Linked DNA regions of Stegostoma tigrinum. The protein of the gene in region 1 binds, or shares a complex with, the protein of each later gene. Links are inferred from orthologs where the notes say so. Each region holds a gene or a part of one and is shown in the gene's direction. Other genes may lie near its edges.

Region 1 (12,480 bases):
AGCTTGAACGCAGAACTTCTCCTGAGATAGGAACATTACCACCACACCATTAGACACCACATCAAGGGCAACCTCATGATCAAGAAATAAACAGGATTAAGTATTGTCATGTCAGATATAGAAAGAGCCATAAAGAGAGGGAAAAAGAGACTGATTAAGAGATTTTTTAAAAAGCATAACAAAGAAAATTAAACCTACAATGTCAATAATCTCTAACAACAATTCTGTACTGACAGGACTAACTCCTCAGTTTAGGTTGTTCACTTTCTTAGCTAAGTCTCAATGTTTAAAAAAAAATGTTTTGACTGTTAGGTCCCACTCCTAAATTTCTAGACTTCATTTGGTAATCAATATGCAAACACAGCAGTTTTGTGAAACCCGCAAGGAGATTCAAATCAAGCTGTGGTTCCTCTCTCGGGAGTGGGCATTTCAATTCATAGCATTGTCTTCCTTATCTACAGGTCTTGCACACTTTATACATTAAGCATGGTGTATGTGTATTAATTTCACCATTATTTAGGCAACAAAATTTGAGCCCATTATTTGCTTAAAAATAGCAATGTCTGTAAAACACATAAAGGCCTATTTATTCTGATGGTCAGATAGTGACTGGAACAGTACAGACAGGAGTTGTAAATACATGCAAACTCATGTCTGGGCCCTGAGGGATCCAGCATGCAAAAGATTCTGTGAGAATTGTTCAGGAAATTGACAATTCAAATGGACAATTCCCCTATGTTCAAAACCTCAAAAAGAAACTATTAAAGACAGAGAATTTGGAGGATTCCTCTTCAGTTAAGAATCATAGAATTTCTACAGTGTGGAAACAGTCCACTTTTCCACTTTTAATCCTGCCTAAACCTTCAATTCCTCCTTACTCCGTATGTCAATCTGCTCAAGAACCTCATAGTTTGTTTTAAATTCATCTGAAAGATGTCGGCATCGCCAGCTGGCCAGCATTGCTAGCCCATCCCTAGTTGCCCTTGAGAAGGTGGTGGCGAGCTGCCATCTTGAACCATTGCAGTCCACCTGCTGTAGGTTGACTCACAATACCATTAGGGAGGGAATTCCCGGATTTTGATTCAGCGACCGTGAAGATATATTTCCAAGTCAATGCGGTCAATGGCCTGGAGGAGAACTTGAAGATGATGTTGTTGCCATGTATCTGGTGTCCTTGTCTTTCTAGATGGAAGTGTTCGTGGGTATGGAAGGTGCTGTCTGAGGGTCTTTGGTGAATTTGTGCAGTGCATTTACAGATAGTACACACTGCTGCTACTAAGTGTCACTGGTGGAGGGAGTGGATACTTGTGGATGCCGTGCCAATCAAATGGGCTGCTTTGTCCTGGATGTCAAGCTTCTTAAGTGTTGTTGGAGCTGCATTCATTCAGGCAAGTGAGGAGTATTCCATCACACTCCTGACTTGTGCCTTGTAGATGATAGACAGGCTTTGATGATTCATGAGGTAAGTTACTCACCACAGTATTCCTAGCATCTGACCTGCTCTTGTAGACACTGTGTTTTTGCAGTGAGTCCAGATGAATTTCTGGTCAATGATGATCCCTCGGGTGTTGATAGTGGGGGATTCAGGGATGGTAACACCACTGAATGTCAAGGGTCAGTGGTTAGATTGTCTCTTATTGGTGATTAAATTGAATTGAATTAAATCATTTATTGTCACATGTATTCAATACAAAATACAGTGAAAAGTTTATTCCAAGGCCATGCATTGGCACCATTCTCAAAATAAAATCAAAATAAAGAAAGGTAACTTAAAGAGAATCCAACTTTTCCTTCTCCGTTGCTACAGTCCCACACCGGGCTCCACCAGCCCATGCCATGATGCTGCCAGAGTCCCACTTTAGGCTTCACCAGCCCATTCCATGCCACCACTAAAGTCCCACTCCAGGCTTCACAGGCCAGCCAACTCTATAGCCATGCTGCCACCTTCCTGCTGAAGGGCTCTCTTTATCAGATAAATTTAAGCAAAAGCTACAAAGAAGCTGAGAAAAGTAGACGAAAAAGGAATGGAAAAACAGGAGTGCCTGGGGACAGGAGGGCAGACGTTGCCTACTCCGCAAAAGTAGCAATTAATAAGATTGTGAACGTTGATAGAGATTGATAAGAATGTGAATGGCAATGGATGCAGTGGAAAGTATGAGGTTTCTTCCCAGGAATCTAGGGGATACTGGTTCAAGGTGTGGGGGGGATGTTTAAGAGGGATGTGCGAGGCACATTTTTCACACAAAGGGTGGTGAGTGCCTAGACCGTGCTGCCAGAGGAGGTGGTGGAAGCAGACACAAGAGCAACATTCAAGGAGCACCTGGATAAATACATGACTAGGAGGGGAATAGAGGGATACTGATCCTGTAAGTGAAGACAGTTTTAGTATGGAAAGGCAAAATGTGTCAGCACAGGCTTGGAGGGCTGAAGGGCCTGTTCCTGTGCTGTTGCATTCTTTTGTTCTTAGTTCCACCACCATTATCCTGGTTATGATCATCTTGTTGCTCATAGCCTGGCGTTTGTGTAGCACGAATGTCATTTGTTACTTGTCAGCCCAAGTCTGGACATTGTCCAGATTTTGTTGCCTTTGAACACAGACTAGCTCAGTAACTGAGGAGGCACAATGGTGCTGAACATTGTGCGATCATTGGTGAACATCCTCACTTCTTACCTTATCATGGAGTGAAGATCATTGGTGAAGCAGCTGAAGATGGCTGGGCCAGGATATTACTGTGACGGACTCCCGCAGAGATGTCCTAGAGCTGGGATAACTGACCTCCAACAACCATGATCAACTTCCTTTTTTCCAAGTACAACTCCAACCACTGGAGAGTTTTCCCCAGATACCCACTGATTCCAGTTTTGCTTGGGGTCCTTGATGCCACACTCAGCCCAATGTAGCCTAGATGTCAAGGGCTGTTATTCTCACCTCATCTCTGGAATCAGCTCTTTTGTCTACGTTTGAACCAAAGCTGTAATGAGGTCAGGACCTGAGTGGCCCTGGTGGAACCCGAACTGGGCATCACTGAGCAGGTTATTGCTGAGCAGATGCTGCTTGATAGTACTGTTGTTGACACTTTCCATCAGTATATTGATGATCAACAGTAGGCTGATGGGATGGTAATTGGCCAGGTTGGATTTGTTTTGCTTTTTATGTACAGGATGTACATGAGAAAATTTCCACATTGTCAGGTGAATGCCAATATTACAGCTGTACTGGATAACAAAGAGTGGAGCTGGATGAACACAGCAGGTCAAGCAGCATCTCAGGAGCACAAAAGCTGACATTTCCGGCCTAGACCCTTCATCAGAGAGCAGTTGTACTGGAACAGCTTGGCTAGGGGAGCAGCAAATTTGGGAACGCAAGCCTTCAGTACTATTGCTGGATGTTGTCAGGGCCTGTAGCCTCTACAGTATCAATTGTCTCCAATCGTTTCGTGATATCACATTGGAATGAATCGAATTGGCTGAAGATTGGTAGGTGTAGTGCTGGGGACTACTGGAAGAGGATGACTTGGATTATCCAGTCAACACTTCTGGCTGAAGATTGCCGCAAATGTTTCAGCCTTATCTTTTGCATAGATGTGCTGGGTTTTTCCAGCATTGAGGATGGGGATATTTGCGGAGCTTCCTCCTCCAGTGAGTTGTTCAATTGTCTACCACCATTCACGACTGGATGTGGCAGGACTGCAGAGCTTAGATCTGATCTACTGGTTGTAGAATTGCTCAGTTCTGTCTGTCACCTGCTGCTTATGCCATTTGACATGCACGTACAACATAGAGTGGAGGTGGAGGAACACAACAGGCCAGGCAGTATCAGAGGAACAGGAATGTTGACATTTCAGGTCGGGAACTTTCTTCATAAATATCTGAACCTGAACCGTCAACTTTCTTATTCCTCTGACGCTGCTATGTTCCTCCAGATCCACACAGTGTTGTCTCTGACTCCAGCATCTGCAGTTCTTGCTATCTCCTAAACATGCAAATAGTCCTGTTTGGTGACTTCACAAGGTTGGCAAATCATCTTCAGGTATGCCTGGTGCTGGTCTTGGCATGCCCTCCTGCACTCTCTACTGAACTACGGTTGATTCCCTGACTTGATGGTAATGGTTGAATGGAGGGGAGTATGTGAGCCATGAGGTTGCAGATTGTGCTGAAGTACAATTCTGCTGCTGTTGTGGCCCCCGGCACCTCACAGTGCCTCTTCCTGAATTCTGTATCTACATTCTCCTTCCCCTGAGTGAAAACAGATGTGAAGTAGTCTTTTAATACTCTACCAGTGTCTGCCAAATCCCATGCCCTTATTGTCCCTTTGGTCCCTAATGGGTCCTACTCTTCCCCTGATTATCATATTCCACTTGATATGCTGTACAATATCTTGGGATTCTCCTTCATCTTCTCCACCTGTACTTTGTTCTTTGCTCTCATAATTATTTAATTTCCCCTAATCATTTTCTATACTGTACTAAGGCCTCCATTTGTATCTGTCAAAAACCTCTCTTTTCCTTCTTATCGAAGGGTTTCATGGGCTTATTACACCTACATTTCATCATAACGGGAATATGTTGTGCTTGCACTCTCCCCAGTTCCTTTTTGAGCATCCCCCTACCCCACCTCCCATCCTGTGGATTTACCAAGAAGGGGTTGTTCACAGTCTACTGTGGCCAGGTTCTGCCTTAATTTAATAAAATCTGTCTTCCCCAATCCATATCTCTGTTTGCAGGCCAACATGTTCCTTTCCCATAACAAACTCATGATATTATACATTGTGGTTCACTAACACTAAAATGCTCCCCTATTGACACATTAAACATCTTCATTCCCCAGAATGACGTCCAGTACTGCATCATCCCTGTTGGACCTTCTAGATATTAAAAGCTCTCCTGAATACGTTGAATATAATTGAAGAGCAGAATACACCGAACACACTGACCCCTATAAACCCTTTACACGATGACTATCCCAATTAATACTTGAATATTTGTCTGGCCAACATGTAACTCCAGGCAACATGGTTGACTCTTAACTGTCCTCTGGGCAAATATGGATGGGCAATAAATGCTACCCAGCCAGCAATGCCCTCATCCCATGAATGAATAAAGAAAAAAAATTCCAGTATTGTATGAGATAACACAATGTGGAGCTGTTGGAACACAGCAGTTAAGGCAACATCAGAGGAGCAGGAAAGCCGACGTTTCAGGTTGGGATCCTTCTTCAGAAGCTTTTCTGAAACATTTCTGAAGAAGGGTGCTGACCCAAAACATCATCTTTGCTGCTCCTCTGATGCTGCTTGGCCCGCTGCGTTCCACCTGCACCATACTGTGTTATCCAGGATTGTATGGTTGTCGTTACTTGAACATGTAAAGATTAAGCAATGAGTTGGAACAGAGTGGGGTTGTACGTGCGACTCTCTTTAAAGATTCCTGTCAATGTACAAAGAACCAACCTAAATAGTTGGACGACAGTCCACATTAATGCCAAGTCTCAGCACTTTACACCTGCCTCAGCCCTTGTGCTGCCAATAGGTGTTGTCACTTCTAGGTAAACTGTGCAAAATGCTCGAAGTTTAACCCACAAACGGCCTTGAATGCACGGCAAATGCAGTATACTTTCCAGGAACAGCAATTGAAAATGATGCGTGAAGATTGCAGCCCCGTTCCTGTGTTGTAGCGAGCGGCCTCCTCCAGACCCTCCCACGGGCTGTGTTGGAGTTATTCGGCCAGCGAGCGATCCATTGCAGTTAACATCTGGCTGCATAAGCATGGAAAAAGATGTCTTGTCTGGCACACAAAAACACACAAAGACTATCTGGCGCCTCCAGGCTTGTGATTGTTCCAGTCATGCAACAAGTTTACAACACGCCCTTCAAATTAAAAATTGGCATTTTTTTCATCACTGCACTCTAGATTCTTAAAAAGGGTGGGTTTAAAAGTGCGAATCGTTTTAACAGGATTTTAATATACCCTTCATGTTTATATTGAGTATCAACACAATTAAGGGGCCAATATTACCCGTGCCTAGAATTACTTATTAATCATTATCTGTGGACTGAATGGTCAGTACATGCAGCTTTATTTCTGCAATTCTTCGCTTGAAAGATACATTTATACAGCGCCTTTCTCCATAACTGGATCTCCAAAAGTACATATGGAATGCGATTACTGTAAGGAAGAGATATTGCCTCAAGAGAAGAAAAATATCAATGGCGTACTTTGGGGTCAAAAGCCTGTGTCCTTTTGCAACCGATACAATTCTAACGTCTGAATTGTGAAATGAACTCAAAACCTGAGCGGTTTGTTTCACGTGTACTGTTTTTTTTTCGAAATATGATGGGAACATTGTTGCTTTCTGACAATTTTGGTGCATTTACCCAACGATCATGCCTTTAAAACAAAACTCGTTCATTTTCGGAACAGTCTTGTTTCCAAATATAAACTTGGGGCAGCCCCAGTCGCCAGAGAATGCATTTCCTTCGGTGGATTTTTTTTCAACTTCCGCCAGTCCTTCTGCTCTAGCAGATCGGTCGCGTCTGCGCATCTGGAAGTACAAAGGATTTCAGTCGGCAGGGACTCAGCTAAGAGCGGCACATAGTTGCCTGAGACTAGCTGTGCTGGCAAAGCAGAGAAACACTGCATAATGTTTGTGCAGTGAAGGATATCGCAGAGACACCACAGCAACGGCATTTCTTTTTGATAAATAGGTGCTCTCCCACTGGAAGAAAATGACCATGGAAACAAGCGGCAACTTTTATCGCTTAGTCTTAAAAGTAACCTTGCTCCAGATCATCTGGGTCCAGCAGACTTTAGCGGCACCGACTGGCATAATCAAGTTTCCAGGTGATAACAGCACGAAGACAGACAAGGAAATAGCCACTGTAAGTGTGGGGAGACGTTAACTTTCTAATGCCCGGCTGCCTTGCAAATGGCGTTTTATGTTAAGTGGTCGTTTTCTTTAGCTTTCACAACAGCTGTTGAAACGAAGGAAGCGATTACTTTTTCCCCCCTCAGTGGCTCCAGGGCATCAAAGTTTCTTAAAAGTCTAGAAGAGAGAACGCCACGGGGCTTGATAACATCTGTTCGTTTTGGCAAGGCAGGGGACCTTGCATGTAGACAAAACAAAACAATTATAGATAAGTGGAACCTCACATTGTTTATCTAAGAGCTATCCAATAGCTTAGTGATAGGATTAATCTTATATTTCAATGAACACAAGGGCAGGACTAAGTTTAAAAAAAATTTGGGAAATTAGTCACAAAACAAGTAGAACAAATGTAATCTTTCCATATGCCTACTGTGTCCGTATATATGTTACAAAACATTTAATACGTGTCAAATTAACAATGTACTTTGGATGCTAACTTATTGCCATAATTTAATAAGCATCCATACAAGATCCCGAAAGTTTGTGGGTATTCTAACGGTGTCTGTGCTGAAAAAATAATGGCATAAATCCAACTGCCTCTAGGATTACAGAAACACGTGACAGATTTCTGCAGGCTATTAGCCAATGAAAGTTGGCTTTTGGAGTATCAAGTTATGAATATACTTGAAAACGTTAACGTCAAGCGCACTACAAGTTTCAAGAAGTTAACACAAGAAAATCAGGATGTCTGTTTGACTTATCAAGTCCTTATAACACAATATTAGTGCAAAATGAAATCTGCAATGTAAATAAGAATTATAATGCATTTAAAGTGGTCAGCCCTCAACTTTTGAATCCATTCAGAATTTCTCAAATACACCAGCAAAGTTTGCCACAAGTTCAACCAACACAGAATCAGAGCATTTTCAACTAACTTGTTAATGTCTGTCTCAAAATCTTTAATATTTTACCTATACAAACATATTTCTTTATATTTTATATTAGTTATATTTGAATAAATTCTATGGCTGCCCGAAAGAAAGGTGTGATCTTGTGGTACTGTCAGACACACTGAAGAAGATGCAGAAATTTTTTGGATTACCACAAACTGGAGAACTGGACAGTGAGACAGTAAGTGTGATGAAGAAACCGCGGTGTGGAGTTCCTGACGTGGCCAATTACAACTTCTTCCCACAGATGCCCAAATGGGAGAATAAGCAAATAACTTATAGGTAGGTGTGTATAAACATGTGGAGTTTTCTTCGGTGTGTCTTTTAATCACTTATGTAACTGGTAAGACGGTTTCATTGGGATTGTTTCAATATTTAAAGTTTTCAAGAAGATTTGTAGCTCAGATGAGGTTGTAGACATGCTTGCTGAGCCGGTAGGTTTGGTTGCAAACATTTAGTTACCTTGCTAGGTAACAACTTCAGTGTGCCACCAGTGAATGCAAAAACACCAGGCAACTCCAGACTAGCCACTGTATAGAAAGACCACACATACAGACCGAATACTCAATTACACTAGTGATCACCTCAGTGCCCATAAACAGAGCTGCATCAGGACACTATTTAAATGAGCCACAACACATTGCAACAACCCAGAACAATGCAAAGTGAAACAGAAGCACATATATGGAGCCTTCAAAAGGAATGTACTCTCGAAAAGCATAATCCACTGTTACCTCCGAGACAGATCACAATGGGAAGACACAACATGACCAGAATCACTAATCACCCTACCATTATTCAAAGATGACAACAAGACTACTCAGACCCTTGGGTATCAGGGCAGCCCACAAACCAGCAACCATCCTGCGACAGCTGCTGACAAATCTAAATGATTCTATACCCAAAACCAGTGTAATATATAAAATACCATGCAAGGATTGTGAGAAACACCACCTGATCAAACTGGAAGAAAACTGACAATAAGGATACATGAACATCAGCTAGCCGCCAAGAGACACCACCAGTTCTCACTTGTCTCGCTACTCACAGACAACAAGGGACGCAATTTTGACTGAGACAACACATCCATAATAACACGAACCAAGCAGGGACACACCAAGGAATTCCTGGAGGCCTGGCATTCTAACGAACACATTGAATTAGACCCAGTGTACAAACCAGAGAAACAGAACCAGAAGTGGTACGAAACACCCCAGCAAACTGAGGCAAATAAATAACCAGAGGCACACTGATGATGTTACCAAGCAGGGTGATGAAACATTTGCAACCAAATCCACTGGCTTGGCGAGCATGTCTAAAACTTCATTGTTTCAATATGCTGTAGGGAAACGAAAATAGTTTTTGATTGATTGTTGTATTACTCTGTTATTTCAAAATTGTTTCCTTGAAGGAAAGATATTAATTGTTTAATCGGTTGTTTCATTAAATGCATCATGAAAATTGTAATAGAAAGCAATAATAATATATTTAAAGGAGGACTTGGTGAAACGTAATGTGAATTTAGTCCTAAAATAAGAACGAGAACAATTTTCAGTAGATATCTTGAGTAACAAAGACTATTTACAGCTGTTTTTTAGACTATGAAAAATGTTCATTCGAAATTTTGCTGAAATATAAGATTTATCCAGAGCCTCCGTTAGGACCAAATAGAATCATAGAATCCCCACAGTGTGGAATCGGGCCATTCAGCCCATTTAGGTCACTGACCCTCCAAAGAGCAACCCATTCAGACACACTCTATCCCTATAACCCTACATTTCCCATGGCTAATCCACCTCATCTGCTCATCCCTGGATACTATGGACAATTTAACCTTGGCAATCCACCTAACCTGCACATCTTTTGGACTATGGGACGAAACTGGAGCACCCAGAGGAAACCCATGAGACACGGTGAGAATGTGCAAGCTCCACACAATTGGTCATCCAGGGGTGAAATTGAACCTGGATTCTTGCTGCTGTGAAGCAGCAGCGCTAACCACTGAGCCACCATGAGCATTCAAGCTAGAAGAGTGGTGATCAGACACATTTCAAGCGAAAAGAGGAGTATGATAAGTTTGTGTACTATCACCAAAATTAGTCGCTGTACACAGTGAACAAATATACTTCTCTGAAAGGGTCATGAATCTGCTGAATTCACTACCCTGGAGTAGAGTGATTGCCAGTGCACTGAATAAATTCAAAGATTAGATAGATAGACTTTTAATTAGTAAAGGGTCATAGGGAGCGGGCAGAAAAATGAGGCCGAGATAAGATCAGCTGTGATCATGTTAAATGGCAGAACAGGCTGCAGGGCATGAATTGCCTACTTCTGCTCCTAGTTGTTAAATAATTAGCGGATTAGATTAACTTCTATGGATGATGAATTGGGCAAGAATATAACAGACTGTGGTATGCTGATGACACACCACTTCTTGCAGAATCAGAAGAGACCCTACAAAATGTTATAGATGCAGTAAAATTTTGAGGCTTAGCCAGTGGATTGTGTACGAACACCCAGAGGGCAAATAAAATGTTACTCCGATGGAATACAAATGTACTAGAGTGAAGAATGAAGTTGATGGTGTCACACTGGAATAAATAGATACTTATCTGTACTTATCAAATGATAACTGCATTTGGCAGATGCAGTGCCCTAGTTAGGGTAACAACAGAGGTAGACAGAGGTAATTTTGTAAAATGAAGGTTTTATTCTCAACATGAAAACTTTTGTTTGTAACAAGAAATGAACTCTCAAAACTCTCCTATATGCCTAAGGAAGCTGGACAGCACATCATGATCTGTGGAAGAAAATAGAGTCCTTTTGAAATGTGAATGCTGAGAACATAAGCTAAAAATTGGATAGACAGATCATAAGACAAATGAAAAGGTACTTGAAGTTTCAAGAGCTGTGACACTCTTAAAGAGTGACATTCAGAAAATAAAATGTCACTCTTTCAGCCATTTGGTCAAGGTGAAAAGCTGCAGGAATTGCCTTAGAGGGCAAAATGGAGGGCAGCCGTTGGAGAGGTCACCCTGGGGTATTTCAGTGATTGGGTGTCACAGAGCAGTTACAGAGAAGGAACAGTAGATTTGTGAGGATGGTGCAAGACAGACAAACATGACGGACCACAACATGAGCTCTCCTGGCAGGAGTAGCCAAGAACAGAAACAGCAAGGTACAAATCAATGAACTTATGAAAAGTATTTCCTGTTACCACTTAAGGAAAGAAAAGACTTGCAGTCAACAATGTGCCAAAAAGGATTTGTTTTTGCTTAAAATAAATCATTGTATCACTGTAAATTCTAATGGGAGTTATGAGAAGGATTTCTGTCATTGCTGCCTTACATTACTGATTAGGCATATCAAGCTGAGCTTCTGCTGCTTATTCCTTACAGGATTTTGGGATACACTTACGATCTGGACTCTGAGACAGTGGATGATGCTTTTGCTCGGGCCTTCCAGGTATGGGCTGACGTCACACCACTGTCATTTTCAAGGATCTTCGATGGAGAGGCAGACATCATGATCAACTTTGGCCGTTGGGGTAATAATTAAATTTCTTGAAACCTAACACAGATGTTGGATTATAAATATTCAACATGGCTTTTGTCAGTGATGTCTAAATGGGACTTTTATGTGGTGCTTCCATATAAGAACACTTAATCCAAGTATTTGTCAAACACTTTGTGTTAAGCAGATGTTTTGGACCCAGACTTCTAAGAGCATAAACCTTGTATGACCAGTGGAATTGTGACTGCCAACATCCACCAGCATTGCAATTTTCTGTATCAGGAGGAGAGGATCTACACTGTATGGTGCAAACACTATTCTGGGTACATCTGCACCACCAGCTTGTCACATCTATTTGAAAGTTTTAGTTTCCACTTGCCATTGGCAAATGCTGTCCAGATCCTACTTCAGTCAAGTTCAAAAATAAAATTCTGGAGTTGCTGTAAATCTGAAATAAAAACGGGAAATGCTGAAATATGCAGCAGGTCAGACAGCATTTATGGAGAGGGAAAGAGAGTTAATTTTCAGGTCAGTGCCCTTTGATTGGAAGGTCACCGACATGACACATTCATTCTTTTGTCAAGACAAATGTTCCTTGGTCCCCACATTAAGGATGTGGATAAGGACATTAATCATTTTTTTAGATGTATTCTGTGTGGACGGCTGTGTGTGTGTTTTTGGAGAGAAAGGTGGTAGTGTGCACAGGGAAGGTAACAATGCTGCTAGCCTGGATTCCACAGGTGGAAGTCAATATGCCTGACCTTCCTATGGGCTTTCACTGATACACTAAGTAGTACTATATCTTCAGGAGTAAACAATTCTTCAGAATAATTTCCTTCATACGGGGCAGGTAAAGGTATTGGCCAATATAAGGTAATAAGAAAATGCCCATCCCAGTCTATGCTACTTATTTAGAGATCTCTCAGTTGCGATGTTGAATTATAGTGGTAGACTTGGGGAGGCAAAGTGCTTAAACAATGCTAAACACTTCTGCCAAAGGCATGGCCAAGACTGCTAACTTGATTTGCAATTATCAATTGTACAGCCAAATCATTGACACTAGTTGATTCTTGAAAGTGGTGCAATGGCTCATTGGATAGCACTGCTGCCTCACTTCACCAGCGACCAGGGTTTGATTCCACCCTCAGGTGTCTGT
Region 2 (12,152 bases), on another chromosome or scaffold:
AACAATAAACATAGTGGTGCATTCTCTTCAGAGATAATAGGAACTGCAGATGTTGGTGAATCCGAAATAACAAGGTGTTGATCTGGATGAACACAGCAGGCCAACAGCATCTTTAGGAGCAGGAAAACTGATGTGATCACCTCTTTTCCATGTCTTCAGCAGGTTCCCATACAAGGCATGTGCTTGTTCAAGGAGGAGAGAGGAAGTGGTGATATGGTGGCCACTATAATAGATTCTTCCTAACAAGTGCAGGCTCCCCAGGTAAAGAGGTTCTTGATAAATAGGATTGATAGCACACTCCTTGAGATAATTAGCAAGTGAAGACACTTGCTGGGATGCTGGGTAAGGAGCATTTGCAATGCCTCAGCAAGCTGAAAGCTGCCATTCTCAATGTCAGTAGGCAGAGTAGAAGCAGGTGGTAAGCAGACTCTAAGGTGGAAACCATCTCCCAGGATTGCTTTTCTCAATACCATCCCAAGATCACAAAGGAAGATTATGTTACTTCATCCCTCCAGAGGAAAATCGGTCCCACTGTTCCTAAGATTTCCAGGTTTTTATAGACTTATAGAGTCACAGAGTGTAGAAAAAGGCCATTTGGCCCACCGTGTCTATGCCAACCAACAAACACCAAACACCCACCTACATTAATCCCAATTAATTGCAATTTATCCATGGCCTACTATGGCCTGGCATTTTAAGTACTCATCCAGGTGCTTCTTAAATGTTGCAAGCCTTAAATAATGCTATTCTTGCTATAATTGATCTCGCCTAGTGCACGCCCTGTGCTATGTAGCCTGTATGCATCTGTCTATGTTTTTTTGATCTGTACATCCTTTCTTACTATGAACTGTTGTACAGCTCATAAACAAAACTTTTCACTGTACTTAGGTACATGTGACAATAAAAAAAATCATTCAATCAAGATTGAGACTTCCAAGTGTTTCCTAAGGAGTTCCAGGTTTTTATAAACTTATAGAGTCATATAGCATAGAAGAAAGCCCTTTGGCCTACCATGTCTTTGCCGACCAACAGACACCGAACACCCAACTAAAATAATCCCATTTAACTGCACTTTGTCCATAGACTACAATGACCTGGCATTTTAAGTACCCATGAGGGTGCTTCTTAAATGTTGCAAGATATTCTGCCCCCACTCCCTTCTCAGGTAGTACATTCCATATTTATACTACCCCTCAGGTGGAAATTCTCTCATGTCTCTTCTAAGCCATTTGCTCCTCACTTTAAATGTTTGCCCTGTAGTCTTAGACACACTTGCCAAGGGGGAGAGATTCTCACAATCTACTCTGTGTATACCTCTCATAATTTTGAATCCCTTAATCAGGTCCACCCACCACCCCTCCACCTCACCCCTCCGACCCCCCCCCTCCCCTTTCCTACCCACTCAACCTTTACTGCTCCAAGGAAAATAAACCAGGCCCATCCAGTCTCTCTTCACAACTGAAACTTGTCATTCTACACATTATCTTGATGAATCTCCTCTGCACCTTCTCCTGTGCAACCACATCCTTCCAATAATGTAGCAACCAGAACCGCACACAGTATTCTATATGTGGCCCGATCAATGTTTTATAAAGTTGTGACAAAACCTCTTTGCCCCTATATTCTATACCCTGGTTAGTAAAGGCAAACATTCTGTATGCCTTCTTAACCACCACGTTTACCTGTGCTGACACCTTCAGGGGTGTAGGACTTGTATCCTAATGTCCCTTTATTATTCAGAACTTCCTAGGGACCTACCGTTCATCATTTATATCCTTCCCTTATTTGACCACCCAAAATAAATCACCTTGCACTTATCTCTTGCCTCAATTCTACATTGAAATTTATACCAGATATTTATCACACTTTCTTTTATCAGTCAAAGCAATGTTTAAGATTAATGTTCTTTCAACTCTTAACAAGTTCCTGTACTTAATGCCATAATGTAACTCCTTTATTCAGAAAGGGAGAGACAGAAAGGTCCACTACAGGCCACTTAGTTTAACGTCTGTTACAAGAGGGTATTTAGAAAAGTTCAAGGCGACCAGACAGAGTCAATATGGTTTTCTGAAAGAGGGATCATGTTTAATCAGTTTCTTCGAGTCTTTGAAGAGCAATTTTTGCTGTAGATAAAGGAGAACTGGTGAATGCACTGTAGTTAAGTTTCCAGAAGACATTTGATACAGGGTGCCAGATTACTGCAGAACATAAATGCTTTTGTGTAATGCATGCCATATTGCCTGTCTAACAGGAAACAGTGATTCATTATCTCATTTGCAAGATGAAATGAGTGGTGTGCCAAAGTGATCAGTATGTGGGTCTCAAACTTTTACGATTCATGAATGCTTCAGATGTAGGGACTAAAGGTATGGTTGATAACACAAAAATAGGTAGAAAAATAAGTTGTGAAAACAATATAGGTGGGAACAAAGAGTTATAGCTTGGTTAAATGAGCAGGCAAGTATTGGCAGTTGGGTACAATGTAGGAAAATGTACAACTGAAAATTTTGACAGGAAGAACAGAAAAGGCATATTACCAAAATGATGAGAGACTGCGGAGATCTGAGATGCAATGAGATCTGGATTTCCTGGTGCATGAATCATAAAAGATTGGTATGCAGTTACAGCAAATTATTAGTAAAGTTGATAAAATGCTATTACTTATTATGTGAGCAGTTGAATTCAAATGTAGAGAGGTTACCCTTTACTTGCACAAGGCACTGGTAATACCACATCTGAATTATTGCGTACAGTATCCGCCTCCTTATTTAAAGAAGGATATAAATCCATTGGAAGCAGGCCAGAGAAATTTTACTAGACTAATACCAAGAACGAGCATGTTGCCTTATGAGGAAACGTTAGAAAGACTGGGGTTCAATACACTGGAGCTTAGAAGTCAGGGATGATTTGATTGAAATAGATAGGATCCTGAGAGGCCTTCACAGATTGGCTGGGGAAAAATAGTGGCTTCATTCAGCCATGATCTTACAAAATGGTGAAGCAGGCTCAGGTTGGGGTGAGGCGGGGTGAGAGCTAAATGGCCCACCCTAAACACCATATAAACTTACTGCATTTGTCAGCCATTTCCCTTCGACACCAGACAGGCCCAAGTTTCTCCAGAATTTCCTTCAAGCCTGAGATTTAGGCAAAACCTTATGATTTTTCTTACTTTCTCAGTGAACAGCACTAGTCTCAAGTTTTGGAATTCAACATGCACTCTGATCAAAGCACTACAATTTGTGATACTTCTCTCCTTTTTTAATATACATTCACAAAATGTGGGTATCACTAGCTACACCAGCATTTATTAACTATCCCCATTGTCCTTGAAAAGGTGGTGAGCTGCCTTTTTGAACTGCTGTAGTTCTTCAGGTGTTGTATAATCGAAGTGCTTTTAGGAGGGGAGTTTCAGGATTTTGGCCCAGCAACACTGAAAAAAACAATGATATATTCCCTCTCTGATGAAAGGTCTAGGCCTGAAACGTCAGCTTTTGTGCTCCTGAGATGCTGCTTGGCCTGCTGTGTTCATCCAGCCTCACATTTTATTATTTTGGAATTCTCCAGCATCTGCAGTTCCCATTATCTCTGATATATTTCCAAGTCAGGATGTTGAGTCGCTAGGTGGGGAACTGGCACATTATGATGATCTGATTTAACTAAAGCCCTTGTCCCTCCATATAGTGGAGGGCAAGGTTTGGAGGGGGCTGTCCGAGGAGTCTTGTTGAGTTACCATGGTGAACTATGACCTTTGCCAGTGTGTCAGTGTGAAGGAAGTGAATGTTGAAAGTGGTGATTGGGGTTACAATCAAGTGAGCTATTTTGTCCTGGATGATGTTAAGTCCTTGAATGTTATTGATTCTGCACTCCTCCAGGTAAGTTGTGAGTATTCTATCACATTTTGATTTATGCCTTGTGACCGCAGGTCATGCACTGAGGATGAGTTCATGGCTATGGAATTCCAAGCCTTTGACCAGCTGTTTTAGTCAGACCATTTATATGTCTGATCAAATTTAGTTTCTGGTCAATGGCCAACTCACTATAGGAGGAGGTTCCACAAATATCCCCAATCTCAATCAAGGAAGAGCCCAACACATCCGTGCAACAGCTTTTGCAGCAGCCTTCAGCCCAAAGTGCCGCATGGGAAATCCATCGCAGCCTCCTCCAGTGGTCCCCAGCATTACAGATACTGGTCTTCAGCCAATTCGATTCACTCCAGGTGATATCAAGAAATGGTGGGAGGCACTGGATAGTGCAAAAGCTACAGGTCCTGACAACATTTCAGAAATGGTACTGAAAACTTGTACTCCAGAACTTCCCACTTCCCTAGCCGAGCCCTTACCATGCACATACAACACTGGTATCTACCCGACACTGTGGAAAATTGTCCAGGTATATCCTGTACACAAAAAGCAGCTGAAATCCAACCTGACCAATTACTGCCCCATTAGTCACTCTCAACTATCAGTAAAGTGATGGAACACAAGTGTTTTCAAACAGTACCTGCTCAGCAATAATCTTCTCAGTGATGCCCAGTTTAGGCACTGCCAGGACCACACTGCTATTTACCTCATTATAGCTTTGGTTCAAACATGGACAAAAAAAGCTGAATTCCAGAGGTGAAGTTAGTGTGAAAGCCCTTAATATCAAGGCTGCATTTGACCAAGTGTGGTGTCAATGACCCCTAGCAAAACTGGATCTAATAGGTATCAGAGGGTAAACTCTCCACTGGCACATAGGAAAATGGCCGTGGTTGTTGCAGGTCAGTCATCTCAGCTCTAGGACATCTCTGCAGGCGTTCCTCAGGGCAGTATTCTTGGCCCAACCATGTTTAGCTGTTTCATCAACGACCTCCCCTCCGTCATAAGGTCAGAAGTAGGGATGTTCACCAATGATTGCACAATGCTCAGCACCATTCATGACTGCTCAGTCCATGTTCAAATGCAATAAGATCTGGATTATATCCAATTTTGGGCTGACAAGGGGCAAGTAATATTTGCTTCACACAAATGCCAAACAATGACTATTTCTAATAAAAGACAATTTAACCACAACATTCAATGGTGTTACCATCACTGAATTGTTCATTATCAACATCCTGGGTTTACCATTGACCGGAAACTCAACTGGACTTGTCACATAAACTCAATGGCTGCAATTGCTGGTCGGAGGCTAGGAATACTGCAGTAAGTAACTCACCGCCTGACTCCCCAAAGCCTGTCCACCATCTACAAGACACAAGTTAGGAGTGTGATGGATTATTTCCCCATTTGCTTAGATGAATACAGCTCCAAAAACACTCAAGAAGCTTGACACCATCCATGACAAATTAGCCCACTTGATTGGCACCGAGTCTACAAGCATTCACTCCCTAGACCACCGATGCTCAGTAGCAGCAATGTGTTCTATCTGCAAGCCACATTGCAGAAATTCACCAAAAATCCTCAGACAGCAACTTCCAAACTCAAGACAACTTCCATCTAGGGCAGCAGTTAAATGGAAACATCACCATCTCTGAATTCTCCTCAAAGCCATTCACCATCCAGACTTGGAACTTTATCGCCATTCATTCACTGTAACTGGGTCAAAATCCTGAAATGTCCTCCCTGAAGGCATTGTGGGTCAACCTACAGCAGCTAGACCACAGCGGTTCAAAAACTGCAGTTCACCACCACCTTCTCAAAGGTGACTAGGGATGGGCAATAAAATGCTGGCGAACCAATGATGCTCATGTCTCACAAACAAATTTTAAAAATGTCATTCCTGGGATGTTCCAACCATCCCAGGCATGCTCTGCTGTTTTTTGGACCTATTCCCATGAGACCTTTGCCATTCCATTTATCATCTCAGATGAATGCCTCCATTGACCCTGCCTCCATTACACACTCAGACAACACGTTCCAGGCCATAATCACTCTCTGCATGATAACAATTTTCCTCAAGTTTCATTGAGACTTCTGCCGATTGCCTTAAAAGTGTATCCTCTGGTTCTCAACCCTTCCAGAACTGGTGATGGTTTTTCCCTGATAACAAAGTGTGGAGCTGCATGAACACAGCAAGCCAAGCAGCATCTTAGGAGCACAAAAGCTAACCACTCTGTCCCAAGTCCTTTTGATTTTGAATTTCAATCTTCTCTCTTCTTCTTCAAGGCCACAGCATCTCTAACTAAGTAACCTCATCCCTGAAACCAAACTTGTTTACCATTTTTTGCACCCTCTAATGACTTGACATTCTTCCTGAAGCCTCTGCCGACACTGGGCAATTCTCCTGCTTGAACTAAACAAGTGTTTTACACAAGTTTTAACATTAACTTCCTTGCTTTTGTACTTGATACCCCTACTTATGAAGTCCAAAATTATGCATCCTATGAAATATATACCCTGGTTCTTCTGCTCCTATATATTGGGTAAGAAATCTCATTCTGGCTGTTGCTAACAGAAAATTCCAGATTCTGTTTTGTCTGGGTTATTTCTTACGAGTATTTTTTGGCCCCAGGAGGTCTTTTGTCATCCCCGACCTTGGGGATTATCTTTCCTATCCAGCGGTTTATGTGTTAGTTTGGAGAGTTATAATCATACCAATATGTCCGTATAATTTGTAAATGCGTGTTACCCAAGGGAAATCATGGACTTGATCTGGTTGGGTTTTTTCACTCGGATCGTCCTAGACATCTCAATATTATCAGTTAATTTGTCTCCTGGGAACAGCATCACATGGTGCTTTTTAATCAACGGAGCACTCGAAGTGAAATACTGCACTGCACACAGACAGCGAAGTCATTAATGCATTTGTCTGGTCAATTCAGTATCGTGTAGGCGGGCGGCTTTGTTTGTGTATTTTTACATGAGCAAATAATTTGATCGCCAAACTATCCATATTCTCATGAACAATAACCAGTATGCAGCAAGTGGGAAACGATTTGCAAAATTGGGAACTTCAAATTTAAAGCATGGATTTTCACCGTTTTTTTTAACCAAAAAAAGTGGCACAATCAAGTTCGTAAAAGGAAGCTTCTAGAAGCTACTATTTACAGGATTCCTTTCAGCTAAAATGTGTGTCTGATTAATAGCAGTTTACACTGAGGACTGGCAATGTCGAATCAGGTCAGATCTCTCGCGTTCACTGATGTTTATTACCAGCCCATGGAATACTTTCTTTTCAGTCTCTCTAATGAACTGAGCCACAGCGACGTACTCCACAGAGATTCGTAGCTCATTAAACCGAGAGGGAGAAAAAAAATGTGTAGAATTGCCCAGAGCAATGAAAAAAAAACAAGGCGTCTTTGATAGTGGGCCATCAACACTGGCTCTCGCTGTAACTGGTCCATTGACTTAGAGAGGCGGGGACAGCAGAAAACCTTCCAGCCACTAAATAGGGTTCAGCTCAGAGAGGACAGAATAAAACACGCCCAGCAGACGCACAGGCACGACACCGCTTCACTAGATGTCATTTTGCGAATTTATATTCCTCTTCCGAGATCACGCTCAACTAAACTTGCCGCGTGTTTGCCTGAGACAGGACAAGCTTCTGTAAGACCCTTATTCCTGGCGATCCCTTGCTGGAAGAAGAGCTTTACTTCTGTGAGGTTTTAAAATGAGTGCTATATTCAGCAGTCTGGTGGCAACATTGTTTCTGCTCATGGTTTTAAGGGTGGAACAGATCGCCGAGGCTTGTAGCTGTGCCCCGAACCATCCCCAGCAAGCTTTCTGTAATGCAGATGTAGGTAAGTAAAGACATCTTTCTGCAGTCAAGTGTGTTCCCCCCCCCCCGCCTCAAAGAAACCCACAAATTTAAAAATGCGACTGCGTTGAACACACGATACGACATGGTGATTTCCTGTTAAAAGCTGCCCGAAGTAAATGGAGCCAGAAGTCAGAAAGGAAAGTTTAAGGTACAGTATCACCGATACCAGCCTCTCCTGTCCTGTCATTGCACATATTCGAACTCAGCCCAGTGCTGATCTCTCCAGATGTTGCTATTTGATTTTCTTTAGAAGTAGCTCACAACATTGCTGGTTAATTTCAGATATTACTTGGAAACTGACAGGCTTGTAAAAAAGATGGAATCTTGTGGCCCTAACCTTCTCAGTACTTGTTGCCTATTGTGTTGCTTGAGTAGTCAGTCTGAACTTACAAGTGAAGCACGAACGTGTGTTTAAATCCTCAGTACATACCTGACCATTCCTCCCAACCACTTTGTTTATCAGGCAGAAGACTGATAATAATTGACTTGTGATGAGATTGTTGTTACAAGACAAAGTACTGTACCATTTTAGAAATGGGTTGTGACCAGAACTTTGCATATTTGGATCACTTTTAATTTATTCACTTCCATCTGTATATATTTCAGTAATCAGACCATTTTTGTTGATTTAAGAATACTGTTTCACAAAATAGTCCCTCAGCTATTTTAGAGCCAACACATTACTAAATAATTAGATACAGTGCCTGAGCTGTTTGTTGGAATGACTGAGTTCATACTTCACATCTTAGGTAAACCACATCCCAACAAACATTTCAGAACTCAAATGACATCTTTCCTTTAGCTAACATTTCAAGTGTGACCATATTTTTGAAAAAAAACAGTTGATCATACTTAAAAGGTTCAGCCACACCAGTTAGCCTTTGTAGTATTTTTCAGAGTATCTCAAACATTGAGGTTGTGCAGATTTTACCATTGTCTGTAAATGGGCTTGAGCCTATCGAGCACATTCTCTGGAGCCTGTTATTTCTGAACGAGATTAACTTGCACAGTTTTTTTTAATATTACTTGGCTGATTTAATAGCTTACAATCAAAACTGATTTGACTATGTATATGATTATGTATCCATTCTTGGAACCCTTGCTCTTGGCTTATAATGTGATTCCCCAGTGCATATTTGCACAATTAGTAGGACATATCATTGCAGAACTATTTGCATGCATATTTTTCATGTTCACATTTGTGTCTGTTACCTATTTGGGAAAAGACATCTTGTGGTATTGTACAGCATACGTGGAAAACGAAGAATTACAGGACTACAAACTTTTGAAAATCAAGTCTGTATTCACTTTTAAGGCCATCTTGCAGTTTATTTGCACATACTTTTATGAATATATCTGAAAAATGTATTATATTATTTAATGAGGCTTAAAATCAATTACTTATCATCTTTCAGTAAGAGATGTGTTTGCCTAAGAAACAGAAACATTGACAGTGGAAAGGCTCAAGTTGGCAAGTAGCCATTATACCATGAGTAGCGGCACTACACAGTTTCGTATCGAAATGTGTATTATTGATTCCAAACTTTTCTATGTTAGGGAAATAACACCTTGCAATGCACCAACATTTGCAAGGTTCCTACATCCTACCCACTGATAGATGCTGCCAAATGCAAAATTGCTATCATCATTGAAAATTCAAGTCATAGAAATGTTTATTAGTATGCAACAACACAAGTACTGTGCTATTAAATCAACAAGCACAGCAATCTAGTAACAGGCAAAAATCCTTGAAGACTTGCTCGGGTCTGGCACCCAAATGTGTTATTTTTCTCTCCTACACATTCCTCTTAAGACATACATTATTCCAGAGCCAAGCGTGTGGGCAGAAATGCTGCCCTCGAGCCTATGCCAATGCTATGATTCTGTCAGATCGCTTCAAGGTTCACAGCAGCAGCCTTGGGTGATTTGCTGATTTGGTTTCTTTTCCCCCACTAGTCCCTGTGAAAGATCATCATCTGCCCTGCATTCCACTTCATGCCTTTACCTGGCAGGAGACTTGAATGTTGGGAACGCATTGTGTGGAGATTGCAATTGCATCATAATGCTATTCCACGGCAAGCAATTCTAATACAGTTTACATTGCCAGGAAGCTGTATTGATTATTTAATATATCAGCAGCTCACTCACTGAAAAAGATTGAAGTTGTTGTTTTCGCTCCATTTTCTTTATCAAAGTCACCTGCAGAAAATTTAGTCTCAATGCCGTAAATATTTGTTGAACTGTACAGTCAGCTTTGGGTCCAAATGACGACCAGAAGTTGATCCTGTACCACTTCAAACAATTATAATCTAAAGCCTGCTTTCTTTAGCTGAACTGCAATTGGTGGTTGAAAACAGGTAATTAAGAAATTCATTTGAGAGTACAGACCAACTTAAGATGTTTTATGACTGGAGGCAGTAGTTTCTATGGTGGCTGCTTTCCACTGCAGCTTGTGCATTACATAGCACAAAATCAGCCTCCAGATTTCCTCCATAAATGGATTGCAATTTCATAACAGGGCTGTTATTTTGGATTATATTGCAAAAAGGATTGGGTGGACTGGAAGGTTTCAGCAGTAAAGTGCAATTATGAGTTTTGCTGCATAACCAAATAGTTTGCAAATGCTAGACTGCTTATGGTTTTAATTAGTGTCTGTATGGGCATTACTGTAATGTGCATGTCTGATTATAAACAACTTTGTTCATTCCTGAACTATTGTATGTAAATCTACAGTCTCTTTGAAGCAAGAGGTACCAATGCTTTCCCCAAGACTTGTGTACATAGAAGTTTGCATACAATAATAATTTGCAATTATCTATTTGAACATTTAATATCAACCTGGCAGTAATCCCTGCATGCACAGGATGTTTTGTAAATCTAATTTTCTCTCAATAGAGTCTCTTGCCATTTTTTTTCCTCAAGTGACAAACATGCACTATTTATCAGCATCCCAAAAGGGGACAGTTTAATGTTTTTAAAATTGCACTGGAGACTTCCAGTTGAATATTAAATTATGTCCCGTTTCCACCCCTTGCCTCCACCCCAACACTGGACAAGCTCCATCAGCAAATGTTAATCACACTATCAAAGCTTACCTACAGCAAAATAAAACACAATCCCACTGATCACTTCCTCCACTTACTGATGGGGGTAGGCGAAATAACCAACATCCTGTTTATCGAACTGAGAAACTGAATAGAGGTGGTTTTAAGGAAATTACATGACGTTTGTTGAATGTATGAGTAGGGCCATGTAACATGTTTGTTTTTGTGGTGGACTGTGCAATCACATTTTTATATATAACTTACTACAAATCGGTTCAGTGTCTGCCAGATATTGACTACAAATGATATGTTGTCAGCTGATAATTACAAATCCTTTATGCAAATCTTTTGTAACAAATGATTTTTGTTTTCAGTGTATCTTCTCCCAGAAGGCAGTACTAGCAACGCAAGTAACAGAAGAGGTTAATAGGAGCTGTGAATAAATAATATTTAATATGGATAAATTTGTAATAAATGTCCTAAAACTAACACGCAGGCTGTAACACCATAACATTTGATAGTATTCGGAGACTGTGATTAAACATTGTACTGAAGGTGAGGGTGCATTATACGTCTGGTTTGCCACTATTATATTTGGTGGCAATCAAGCCACCAACTCTTCCAACAGAATTTTATTTGGCTTTTCTTTTAAGTTTGTTAATAATAGTTCTATGTCATTTACTAGTTAAGAACAAGCATGTGAACATACCATTTAGGGGCAGGAGTAGGCCATTCAGCCTACAGAGACTGCTCCATGACATCTTACTGAAACCTCAAATCTACATTCCTGCTGACTTTAATAACCTTTCACCCTTTTGCTTAACAAGAATCAGTCTACCTCTGCTTTAAAAATATTCAGTGGCTCACTTTTTGTGTTTTATGGGTGACCCTGATTTTTAAACAGTGACCATGGCTTCTGGATTCCCTGTCAGAGGGAACATCCACTCCACAGCTGCCCTGTCAAGACCCCTCAGGATCTTGTACATTTCAATCGAATTATCTCTAACAGTTTTAAATTCCACCAGATACAAGCATAGCCTGCTGAACATTTCCTCAAGACAAGCCTCTCATTCTAGGCATTAATTTGAAAAACCTCCTATAAACTGCCTCCAATGCATTTAGATCTTTGATGAAACAAGGTGACAACATAATTCAGATCCAATCTCACCGTTATAACTGAAGCATAATCTTTACTCAAGGTCACTTCCCCTTGTGACAATTGATAATGGCCAATTATTTTTCCAAATTACTTGCTGTACCTGTGTACTAACCTTTTATCATTCATGAATAAAGACACTGAGGTCCCTTTGCATCTCGAGTGCTGCAATCTCTCATCATTTGGCTAACATGCAATTTATTGTTCTTGCC

Evidence for each region.
Region 2: the proteins of mmp2 (region 1) and timp2a are in contact, whole or in part, in a crystal structure (PDB 1GXD), measured with the Homo sapiens proteins. The link is inferred for Stegostoma tigrinum from reciprocal best matches to the Homo sapiens genes MMP2 and TIMP2. Residues at the interface, in NP_004521.1 of Homo sapiens: Trp574, Lys576, Asn577, Lys579, Tyr581, Phe588, Arg590, Lys595, Asp599, Phe602, Lys604, Ile606, Ala607, Asp608, Ala609, Trp610, Asn611, Ala612, Asp615, Tyr636, Leu638, Leu645, Lys646, Ser647, Val648, Lys649, Phe650, Gly651, Ser652; in NP_003246.1 of Homo sapiens: Ile162, Pro163, Cys164, Tyr165, Ile166, Pro169, Leu173, Met175, Val178, Thr179, Phe191, Arg196, Asp198, Ser200, Cys201, Ala202, Trp203, Tyr204, Arg205, Ala208, Lys211, Gln212, Glu213, Phe214, Leu215, Asp216, Glu218.

The regions. Positions count from the first base shown.
Region 1 is NC_081369.1:21,841,662-21,854,141, reverse strand, and holds the start of mmp2 (72 kDa type IV collagenase), read left to right. Parts: upstream 1-6,511; 5' UTR 6,512-6,721; coding exon 6,722-6,874; intron 6,875-7,866; coding exon 7,867-8,093; intron 8,094-11,209; coding exon 11,210-11,358; intron 11,359-12,480.
Region 2 is NC_081375.1:16,774,643-16,786,794, reverse strand, and holds the start of timp2a (metalloproteinase inhibitor 2a), read left to right. Parts: upstream 1-7,398; 5' UTR 7,399-7,590; coding exon 7,591-7,720; intron 7,721-12,152. UniProt on the Homo sapiens protein: Complexes with metalloproteinases (such as collagenases) and irreversibly inactivates them by binding to their catalytic zinc cofactor. Known to act on MMP-1, MMP-2, MMP-3, MMP-7, MMP-8, MMP-9, MMP-10, MMP-13, MMP-14, MMP-15, MMP-16 and MMP-19.